Schizosaccharomyces pombe: one gene and its partner. Changing the gene in region 1 together with any one later gene gives a genetic interaction. Each region holds a gene or a part of one and is shown on either strand. Other genes may lie near its edges.

Region 1 (8,185 bases):
TGAAATTTTGGTCCATTGGGTTCATGCAATTTCTTCCTTCGGGTTACCTCTTCATCTCCTTTATTTGTGTAATTTGGTAAGTATCTAATTAGTTGATTTTCATTCAAAATAACAGGCCTGCCAGCTGTGTATCTTGGACTAGTGATATTGATAAATTTTCGTGTCTGAAGCAACCAAGGAACACTTCGTCCGTTTAGACGCAATCCCATCACATTTATAACTTTTATTGCATTAAAACGATCCAATATCGAGGCAGGACAACATTTCATGAGCAAACTGTTGTTGGACGAGTTAGTACCCCACCAACGAAAGTAACAATACCAAAAATTGTTGAAGCAAAAGAATTAAGAAAATATTTGCACCTTCTTTAAATAATTATGTAAAAAAGAAGAATACGGTTAAACAATAAATCATTTTAACATTGCTAATTGTGTTGCGGATACTATTAGTTTAAACAAGTATTTAGTATGGAATACACAAACTAAATCTTTTTTGTACTAGCCTGTTTATAATTTGCATAAACCTTCCGAAATAACATAAAGAATGAAATTGTATGTACTATCCAAAAACCTAAAATACAAGGAGTATTTAAACTGTGCTCCACTTTACCTAAGATTTTGAGTCAACTTCAGCGATAGTTCTTTTACCAGGTTTACTTTTTGGGCCCCAATTTTCAGTTGGGTTCATTTGATATCGAGTATAACCTTCTTTTTTGGATGCAAACTCGGAATCGGGCCTGAATGTAAAATCAACCTCAGCTGTGGGAGTTTTTTCCAAAATCGCTGCTCCAGCAGATGTTTTACTAATATTTTCAAGCTTCACTGGATGATCTTTAATCCAAGAGCGCAAAACATCCCAAACGAAGGACCAGGGAGCATTTGTTTTAATTGCATTACTCTTGGCATGAGAACCAGAAACCCGATATCCAGCGTTTAACAAAGCTGAAACAAATATATTTTGAGGAGGAGATTGGGAGCGCAAGACGCTACAAATTTGGGATAAAACAAAATAAAATGGAACATCTGGTAGTTCTTCATCAGCCAAAGCGAGCATACCTAAGATTCTTCGTTTAGTGCCATAGACTTCAGGGTCTAAATCTTCTGCAATGGCGCGCATTTTTTTGAGAAATTCTGCATCATGTAGGGGTCCACCCCATAAAGGGCCTCCAACATGATGCACATATCCACAATGTTCACAGTTAGCAGATACAGGAGGCCCCGAAGCATTAGAGAATTTGGTGGTTCCAGGTAGTCTTCCCGGAGAAGTTTTTCCAAGTGGTTGCTCGGCAAAGCTACCGCAGCCTGAACAATGGTATATCAATAGCGATTGACTTTGTAAATTTTTTACGAGAACAGGCTTTGCTTTAATTTGAACAAATACGCGAAAGTAAAAATCAATACTTAGGGAAAGTAGCGGCTTGATAGCGCGACCATATTTTGCAGCAGAAGCTGCAATAGCATAAAGCAAATGACGAACAGCCTGCTCATGACAAAAATTAGAGCGCAAAGAGGACCCACCATAATTAGAAAAGCATTTCTCTGGATATGCATTACCGGCTAGAACAGCTGAATCAGTACATGTGATGCATAGAAGACCGTCCTTTGAAACGGATTGTACAGCAGCATCCAGAAACGGGGCAGCAGATCCATAAGGATCAAGGTCAATCACATCGTAATGAAATTTGTTCATATGCATAACAGCATTAGCGTCTCCTTTATTAGGAATTACTATATCGCTCACATTATTGTAATTAACATTCTTCTCGATGGTTTTCACAGCATTTTCTAATAAATCATTTGCAAGTATCCTTTTGACATTTGGCAACTCCTTAGCATACCGAATGGAACGCAATCCAGTAGCGGAAAGTGCTTCTAAAATGGTAAATCCAGCAATATTATCAGCTGAAGTAGAATCTGTCTTTTCCGAACAGTTTTTTTCAAAATCATGAGTTGTATCACATTTAGTAAGATTTTCTTGGCTAAGTTCGGAGTTTTGATCGAGAAGCTGATGCCGGTGATGAGATTTTGCAACAATTTTTTTGGATCTAGTTTCCGACCAAGCACGAATAGCTGTAACGCTTAAATCTCTATTAAATTGTTGTACGGGGTTATAAAAGACTTCATTCGGATTTGAAAATGGTATAATTGCACTACCCTCGGTCAAACTTGCAGAAGCCCCCGACATCATGGCGGTTGAGAAGTGATTCACAGCATTTGAGATCCTTTGACTTAATCTTAGCATATTGGCTTCATACATTTAATACGAATTAAAGAAAAATAATCGTTAAAAAAAAAGAAAGTATTGATTATTTTTGAGAGTAAATTTGCAGTAATTCATTAAAAAAATACGAGATGTGATAAGTCAACCATAAATCGAATTACAAAGTATTGTATAATACATGTAATCTTGTAGGTTTAGGTAATTGACAATAAGGATAATAAGTAAATGGTCTTTTAGTCTATGACTGGAAAATAACTTTTCTTAGACGTAGTAAATTAATGAAAAAGAGAAAAGAACTTGAATAGAAATACTTCAGAAATTAGAACTTCGTCATTACATTCACTGAAGTAGCCATTTAGATTTGTAAAGTATAGAGTAACGAAAATCTAATTAAACATATTAATTTATTATTGCTAAATAGGTTATCAGTAATCAATAATATTTTTTTTTTGCTTTAACTTATCTAAAAACCAAAAATAACTAGTCATCTAAAAGTCCTCATCGATTGTAAATGTATGATCATCCTTCTCAGCGCGCTTGGTACCCGACATAACGCCAGCAATTTGGTAGTCAGAAACTTTCTTTTCAAAGAAATTTGTTTTTCCTGCTAAAGAGATATTCTCCATGAAATCGAAAGGATTGGTTACGTTATAGTACTTGTCATTGCCCAAAGCAACCAACAAACGATCAGCAACAAATTCAATATACTGACACATCAAATCCTTATTCATACCAAGCAGACTAACGGGAAGAGCGTCCGTGAAGTATTCTTTCTCAATATCAACAGCTTCAACAATAATGGCTTCAACAACCTTGCGGCCTGGTCTGTGCTTCAAATGACTAAACATCAAACAGGCAAAGTCGGTGTGAAGACCCTCATCACGACAAATCAATTCATTGGAAAAAGTAAGACCAGGCATAAGTCCACGTTTCTTAAGCCAAAAAATAGAGGCAAACGATCCAGAAAAGAAGATACCTTCTACAGCAGCAAAGGCAACCAAACGAATTGCATAGGTGGAATCTTCATCATTAATCCAACGAAGAGCCCACTTGGCTTTGGCCTTAATAGAACCCATTGTTAAAATAGCATCGAAATGACGCTGTTTTTCCTTAGGTTCACGAATGTATGTATCAAGCAAAAGTGAGTAGGTCTCAGAGTGAATATTTTCAATCATAATTTGGAAACCATAAACACAACGAGCTTCAGGGATCTGAACTTCAGAGCTGAAACGCTCGAGAAGATTCTCATTAACAATACCATCTGACGCAGCGAAATAGGCGAGTACAGTGGAAATAAAGTAACGTTCATCAGCATTTAACTTGTTATCCCAATCAACCAAGTCTTTCGAAAGATCAATTTCCTCAGCAGTCCAAAAAGATGCTTCAGCCTTCTTGTAGAATTGCCAAATTTCGTGATACTTAATTGGAAACAAAACAAAGCGGTGAGGATTAGGGCGAAGCACAACTTCATCAAGCTCATCTTCCTTTTTGCCCAAGTAGTAGTCGCCTCCTTCCTGTTTCTCTTCTTCACTTACATTATCAAAGTTAAAGGTTTCTTTAATAGATTTAACATAAATTTTACGAACACCTTGTTCGCTATCATACTCGACTTCTTCACCATGTTCCTTAGGATAACTGAATTCTTCGAGATGCTCAAGGCCCATTTTGTAAGATTAATAATGAGATTTCGTCCAAACTGACCGGATTTATCTGTATATAGAATAAGTACAAAAGTTTTCTTCCACCGCGATTATCTCTTGCGATGTGGCTTCCCAAGATGTGTTGTGGTTAATGGCAAAACTTTCAAAGGTAGGTTATCCAATGTAGTGCACAGTATTGTAGTATATTCAACACCACCGTTTTTTTTGTGGATGTTAATTTGTCGCACTTTGGGTATGATAACACAATGAATAAGAGTGAAGGCAAAATAGACAAAATGCTGCCTTATTTTACAGAGTGGAAAATTGCAGTTAAACTAAGTCAAAGGCTGATGGAGATGAATAACGTTGAAAAAAAACAATGTACTAATTAATATTTGGAGACAAACGCAACGAGTAAAAAAAATGAAATAAATTCGAAGACAATCTCAAATTAAATGGGAAAAGCAAGGGCTTACTTCCTTTCCCTTCTGGTGTGTTATAATAACGGTTTCTTAAAGCAGGAAATTGTAGCTAGTTAATAGAAAAATGTGATAGCTTAAATCGAAGAATTCGATGCTAAGCGTGGAGTCGAATAAATTCAATTATTTAGGCTCAAATAATTGAAAAAATAGAAATGAATTTATTACTTTATGTAATAAATAAATTATTAAATTTCTCACTTTTTGTTATAATTTAATAAAGTAGTTTTCAGTGTAATACTTAAGACGCGTCAGGGTACCTCAATTTATGTTGTAGATGAAACGCAATGATATCAGCCTAGTAGTACGATATGATGTTAGAAATAAATATCTCTTCACAATCTCCTTTTCATCCGAGATGTAGAGCGCTTTATAACTGCTCAAATATTACAAATCACGAAACTTCTAATGCGACGCGACCGTACATAAAGACATTGCTTAATTAAAAAAAGATAAGCGCGACAGAGACCTAGCCACATACTGTGAATAATTTTAATACCTTGATCCTTTCGTAAAAAAAAAAAGAAATACTTATATTCGTCTATTGTAAACAGAAAATAAATAAGCATTCCAATAGCACGTTTCTATTGCGTGTTGTGCTTTTAGGTACAGTTTACAATGTGGTATAAAACAATAAAGAATTTTCTATATTCATTCTTCACTGATGTTTGAAATAACCGAACAAAAAATAAAAAGTTCCCTACTCGAAGTTTTTATATTGTTGATATCGCATTTCTTTTGAGAATTTCCCTGCTAACTTACTTCATAAGTTTTCAAAAAAATTTTTAAAAATAAAAGTGAAATAAATTTTAGGCAGTAGTCTAAATAACTCTCATGTTTAGAAATACAAAACGTGTAGAAGAAAAATAGGAAAAATTATGGATAGCTAAAATAACAATCGATTGAAGCAATGAAAACAATTAGACATACATTTATGAAAATAAAATGACCAATTTATTGTCTGGCAAAATGATTATTATTAATTTAAAACAAATAAACTGTTTATTTATACATAGTGAATACTCTCCAAAAAAAATTTCTAACAGTACTACATAGTGGCTTTTAAAATCAAACTGAATGTTTACTTTTGCTGCGAGAGTAATAAATTAAAAAGGAAATATGTAGAGAATCAAAAAAATTATACACTGCAATTTCTTTAGAGTCAATGACAATTTGTATATGCCCTAAGTTACAATATTTACATTTTTGTTACCTTACGAGTTCGCGTTGATTCATACTACCAACTAACTAAAACAACCTAAAGAAGAACCTTTCTTGGTATCTTACCCTTACTTAATACCCTTGCTTTCTTTTTGAACCTTTATATTTTTTGCTAATTCAGCAGAAAAGTTTTGGGATACTTTTTTGGTTTGAAAAGCATGGCACTTCCCACCATAGATTTAAAAATCCCAGAGTATGAAGAATGTCAACATAAAATTACGGATTTTCTATCCCACTTCAAGCAGGAACAGGTTCAAGATGGACAACAAAATCAGGATATTTCGATGTCGGATGCAGGTGATGAGCCTTTTTTAAAATCAAAGTATATGGATATACTACAAAAAATCTCCAATCGAGAGTCAAATGTTATTAATGTTGATTTGAATGATTTGTACGAGTTCGATCCAAGTGATACTCAGCTTTTGCATAATATTGAATCTAATGCTAAACGGTTTGTTGAACTTTTTTCGCAGTGCGCAGATGCGTTGATGCCTCCTCCTACTGTGGAAATTAATTATCGCAACGAAGTACTTGATGTAATTATGCAGCAACGTGTTCAAAGGAATGAAAATATAGACCCTGAGCATAAAGGATTTCCTCCTGAATTAACCCGAGGTTATGACTTATACTTTCGACCAGTAACTCGCAACAAAAAACCATTCAGCGTTCGTGATTTAAGAGGCGAAAACTTGGGATCTCTTTTGACTGTCCGTGGTATAGTTACTCGTACAAGTGATGTTAAGCCTAGCTTAACTGTAAATGCTTATACATGTGATCGATGTGGGTATGAAGTGTTTCAAGAAATCCGTCAGAAGACATTCCTTCCAATGTCTGAATGTCCTTCGGATGAATGTAAAAAGAATGATGCAAAAGGTCAGCTTTTCATGAGCACAAGAGCCAGTAAATTTCTTCCTTTTCAGGAAGTAAAAATACAAGAATTAACGAACCAAGTACCTATTGGCCATATCCCTAGATCATTAACCGTCCACTTATATGGTGCTATCACTCGCTCTGTAAATCCTGGCGATATCGTTGATATTTCTGGTATATTTTTGCCGACTCCGTATACTGGTTTTCGAGCAATGCGCGCCGGGCTCTTAACCGATACTTACTTAGAATGCCATTATGTTTCACAAATCATTAAAAATTACACAAATATTGAAAAAACTCCTCAATCGGAGGCTGCTATCGCTGAATTAAATCAAGGAGGCAATGTGTACGAAAAACTGGCCAAGTCCATTGCTCCCGAGATATATGGACATGAAGATGTTAAAAAAGCTTTACTTCTGTTGCTTGTCGGAGGTGTTACTAAAGAGTTAGGGGATGGAATGAGAATTCGTGGTGACATAAATATTTGTTTAACTGGTGATCCTGGTGTCGCAAAATCTCAATTATTAAAGTATATTTCGAAGGTTGCCCCGAGAGGAGTATACACCACAGGTCGTGGATCTTCAGGTGTTGGTTTAACTGCTGCTGTAATGCGTGATCCAGTGACGGATGAAATGGTTTTAGAGGGAGGTGCCTTAGTACTTGCTGACAACGGTATTTGCTGCATTGACGAATTTGATAAGATGGATGAAAGTGACCGTACAGCAATTCATGAAGTAATGGAACAGCAAACTATTTCAATTTCAAAGGCAGGAATCACTACGACTTTAAATGCTCGAACAAGTATTTTGGCCGCTGCGAACCCCTTATATGGACGATATAATCCGAAAGTGGCACCAATCCACAATATAAATCTTCCAGCTGCACTGCTTTCCCGGTTTGATATTTTATTTTTAATTTTAGATACTCCTTCTCGTGAAACAGACGAGCATTTGGCACAACACGTAACATATGTTCACATGCATAACGAACAACCTAAAATGGACTTTGAACCATTAGATCCAAACATGATTAGGCATTATATTTCTTCTGCTAGACAATATCGCCCAGTCGTACCAAAGGATGTATGCGACTATGTTACTGGTGCTTATGTTCAACTTCGACAAAACCAAAAGCGTGATGAAGCCAATGAGCGTCAATTCGCTCACACTACTCCACGTACACTTCTCGCTATTTTGCGAATGGGACAAGCATTAGCTCGTTTGCGTTTCAGTAATAGAGTGGAGATTGGCGATGTTGATGAAGCTTTGAGATTAATGTCTGTTTCAAAGTCATCACTATACGATGATTTGGATCCTAGTTCTCACGATACTACTATTACCTCGAAAATATATAAAATTATTCGAGACATGCTTAATAGCATACCAGATGTTGAAGGCAATGAACGCTCACTTACACTACGTGCTATTCGTGAACGCGTACTTGCTAAGGGTTTTACTGAAGATCATTTAATAAATACAATACAGGAATATACAGACCTTGGTGTTCTTTTAACTACAAACAATGGTCAAACAATAATGTTCCTCGATCCGGATTTACATATGGAGAATTAACAATTTACTAATAGATAACTCCTATCATTTAATTTTTCTGCCAATTAATTGCTTTAAGCTAATTTACAACCTATAGAAATTATTCTGAGACGTCAAACTACTTTTCTGTTGAATATTCTTTAATTCTGACTAATACATCTGTCGTTCTTTTAATCTATGATAGTTTATTTACTTGTATTCAAAT
Region 2 (3,989 bases), on another chromosome or scaffold:
TAGCTTAAGCAATGTCTCAGTTATAATTAAGCTATAGGAAGGTCAACTATTTTTGCTTCACTATATTTTGTATTCTGAAGAACATATTGATGTGTAGGATCGATAGCGTAGCCCAGTCAAGCAATCGAGAACTGTAAACCTATGTTGACTGTGCAGTCGGAAATATGTGAAAGACGCATGGTTCTAAGGTTGATATTTTTTTATTTTTACTGTTAAAGTTGATTCTTGTATGGTTGATATCCACCAGAAATATACAAGTTCTTAATTCAGTCAATTCTGATCATTGCAAATTCCACTGAGAACTTCTGAAATGCAAGCTTGGTCGTACTGGTAAAGAAATAGGACTTAATATTAACTCATGTGAAATTTAAAATATTCAGTACGATACATTATAAGTGATGAAGCAAAAAACTATTGCTATTATTCAAAACCTTTAAAATTCGTATAGCAAAACTTATAGCCGAATATTGTTACGATTTAAGCATTAAATTACGAGGTCATATTGTACAAAATAACTGCATGAAACGACTATTTATTCATCCAAAATTCCTAATATAACCAATCCGAAAAAGTTTATTTGTCCAGTGTCTTTGAAGTATTTGTAAAACAAACAAACAAACAAAATTAATCCATTTTACTCCGAAGCGGCCGAAGGCTTCTCTTCAGAAGCGTTAGATGACCTTTGCTTCTTAAATTTTCTTCCTCTGTTACTATATTTACCAGGACGCTGACGATCCATCTCTTTAAAAGCGTCAAAACGTCTGCGTTTGCTGCTAAACTTTGGTGGATCGTTTTTATGTAATTCAGCTTTCATGTCAACATACTCCTTTTTGCTCATTATAGTGAGCTCGTCCTCGCCCCATTTCAAAGGTGCAGTTTTGACTTTCTCAAGAAATTTATTAGCAACATCGGGTTCCTTGAATTCAACAAATACGCTTCCCTTAAATTTTTTATCGTCATCCCTTCTCATACGGACAGCACTAATGGGACCAGCATTTTCTTCAAAGAATTTTTCCAAAGCAATTTGAGTGTCATCTTTTTCATCACCGAAACCTTTGCAGTAGACACTTCTTTCCATGACGCTCTTGTTGTCTACACGAACTAGAGGAATCATACGACGTACTTTTTCGCCAGCTTCATCGACTTCAAGAAGTTCAGGACTCTTGCGAAGAGCATTTACAATGGCTTCCAAAGGCTGAAAACGACGCATACGTTTGAAATTAGCAATTGTTTGAATGGGAACCCATCCATCATTTTTTTGAGAAGTAGTCCATAAAAATTTATCATGGGGTAAGTTGGTGTCCGAAAAATAAAATTCTATTCATACTGTTAGTAACGACCACTCAACACAAAAAAGGTTTTAATCCAACGTAAACAAAGTGTGTAACATACCAACTTGCTTTAAAACTTCAGCTTCATCAAAAGATAAATCTTTTTTTCCATCATCTTCCTTCTTTTCAGTAGTTTCCTCCTTTTTTTCTTCACTAGTAGTATCTTTTTGACTTTCTACTACTTTTCCAGCTTCCTCGGCCTTGGGAACCTCTGAAGAATTCTCCTGCTTAGATGAGATGTCCTTAATTTCTTCCTTCTGTTCTTCAGTTGACATGATGTTAATTATTCGTAGAGAGACAGGCAAAGGGCAAATTTCATAAGAAGTTGGATTCCTCTCCTAGAAGCATTTCTAACCCTACCCTATTATCGAACTGACATTATTTTCCTACTCATGAAGACAATGTTAAAAGTTGGCACTTAAAAAAGAAGTAGTTTATTCATAATAGATTTATAATAGATAGAATAATCCCATGAATTTCCATTGTTTTTTTTTTTGAAAAGATTAACAGAGATTGCTCCTTACAATGTAGCTCTGGATACAATTTAACCATAATGACAAGCAGTAGCTTTTAGTTTTCCTATTTATGATTCTTTACCGACAATTGCAATATAACCTATAATATCAAGATTCCCCATTCGAATTATCATTTAATATCCACTTTATTGTAGAACCGCTAACTATTAAAACCGATGTAAGACATTAATACTTTAAACTTACTCCATTTGTTGGAGTCATTATATGTTCGTTACGAGATCACTATCAAATGCTTTAATTGAATAATTTCAATTTCATATTGTTGAAGGATTTTAAATAGTAAACGGAGCGCCTCGAAAATTTTAAATTTCCTTTATAACTGACATAGGTGTAAGATTAACAATTTCTTTCTCCATGTTCATAACGTCTTCTTCAGGATTAGATGCATTATCGGAGGGTGGAGATTGTGGTTGATTATTTTCGTCAGATGTAGTCGATGGTTTCTCATTAGTTTCGGCGTCTTCCTCTTCAGACTCCCCTACCATATCTTGATAAATTTCGGGGTGTTTTTGAAAACAAGCCTGCATAGCTTGAAATTTGTCAAGACATTCCATACCTTTTGGTTCACTCTTGGAATAAACGAAGCAACTAAAAGCTGCTTTGAATTCTTCTCCACATGGACCATGAGCCATACCTCCAAGACAGGGACAATCCCAGTTAATCTCTCCAGTATCCGGATTAAATGCTGACTCCTCGCTGCTCTCCTCCTCCACTTCCTCAAATTTCCTAGCATATTCATCATCATCTTTACCAGTGGCTATTTGTTCTCGAAGTATATTTCCAGCTGTCTCCCCGCTGGATTTTTCCTTATCAGTTTTCTTCGGTGCACTATTCTCAGTAGCGCTGACCTTGCGGCCTTTCTCGTCAGTCGAAGGTTGTGTTTCACTTGTCATTTTCTTCTCAATGGCATCTTCAATTCGGTGTCGCTGCATATATGGTTCATTATACGCTATATTGTTAGTTAAATTCATATAATCGTACAGAAAAAGATAGCCATTTCAAACATATGATACTTACATTGTGTTTCCGTATGGACATGTTCGCCTACAACAGGATGGTCATTATCTTGACTCGATGATGCATTTGAAGTGTTTTTTCCAAGTAAATATCCAGCAGTCAAAGAAGCAGCTGCAACGCCAGATACAATAGGCAAAAAACGGCCTTTCCATACATCAGTTTTGGTTGCAGTACCAAATTTTCGACAAATGCCTGCTTGAAATCCATTTCTCTGCAGTAGAGACCTTCTCATATTATTGTAACCGTTAATCCTTATACATTTTGGAAATCTGAAAAGTAAGTTTTTAGCAAACATGGTTTTTTTGATTTATGGGAAGTTGAGCTCTGAACTTCTAATGTCTGCGTAATGGTCAGAAAGCGGCGACGATCTTACAAGAACGTAACTTTGTCATTCATTCTAAGTTTATATAAGTTTGCATGTTTTTTAAATCAGATTTAAGTAAATAGGTATTCACAAATGTAAGACAAGCAAGACTGGCAGGATTTACGAGATTACTAAGAAATGCCTGAATGACTAATTTCATAATAGAATTAAACTAGCGACATAATAGTTTCACAAGCAAACTTAGGTATGCAAAACAAAAGGTAATTCATTTATAATATTTAATTAGAAGAACGTGAGTATTATTTTCTATAATATGTTAAATTTTTACTATAATAATGTACCAGTAAACGACACTGAATTTTTTCTTTAAAAGAAATATACTGACATCCCAATCTATTCTTCCTTGCCAATTATGTCAACCCAACGTTTGCCCTTAAGCTCGGCAAGAATCTCTTGCTTAATCTTGTGAGCAATTACAGGACCATCATATCCCAAAGCAGTATAAACTTGAACCATAGTTGCACCAGCACGAGCATACTCAATAGCATCTTTGCCAGAAGAAATACCACCACAGCCGATGATGGGAATATCGGAAGAAAGATGCTTACGAAGTGTGCGAAGAGTATTTAATGCGATAGGTTTGAGAGGAGGTCCAGAAAGACCACCCGTCTCTTCAACATGGCTAGTTGATTTGAGGGTCTTAGGGCGTTGAACGGTAGTATTACCAACGATCACACCGTCAATCTTGCACTTTTTGAGGACATCGGCAATGTCCGTGAG

What was found. A genetic interaction does not mean that the proteins touch.
Region 2: mutations in trm1 (region 1) and sla1 are lethal when combined (synthetic lethality), as found in Schizosaccharomyces pombe (one study listed by BioGRID).

What each region holds. Positions count from the first base shown.
Region 1 is NC_003423.3:3,717,454-3,725,638, reverse strand, and holds trm1 (mitochondrial tRNA (guanine-N2-)-methyltransferase Trm1.1), read right to left. Parts: upstream 2,257-8,185; coding exon 610-2,256; 3' UTR 501-609; downstream 1-500. Other genes in the region: mrh5 (RNA helicase), read right to left, coding at 1-269; ribonucleotide reductase small subunit Suc22, read right to left, coding at 2,709-3,884; MCM complex subunit Mcm7, read left to right, coding at 5,719-8,001. UniProt on the Schizosaccharomyces pombe protein: Dimethylates a single guanine residue at position 26 of nuclear- and mitochondrial-encoded tRNAs using S-adenosyl-L-methionine as donor of the methyl groups.
Region 2 is NC_003424.3:1,381,908-1,385,896, forward strand, and holds sla1 (La-motif domain-containing protein), read right to left. Parts: upstream 1,642-3,989; 5' UTR 1,607-1,641; coding exon 1,393-1,606; exon of another isoform or gene 1,318-1,392; coding exon 635-1,317; 3' UTR 501-634; downstream 1-500. Other genes in the region: disulfide relay system thiol oxidase subunit Mia40, read right to left, coding at 2,170-2,816, 2,885-3,179; mitochondrial dihydroorotate dehydrogenase Ura3, read right to left, coding at 3,603-3,989.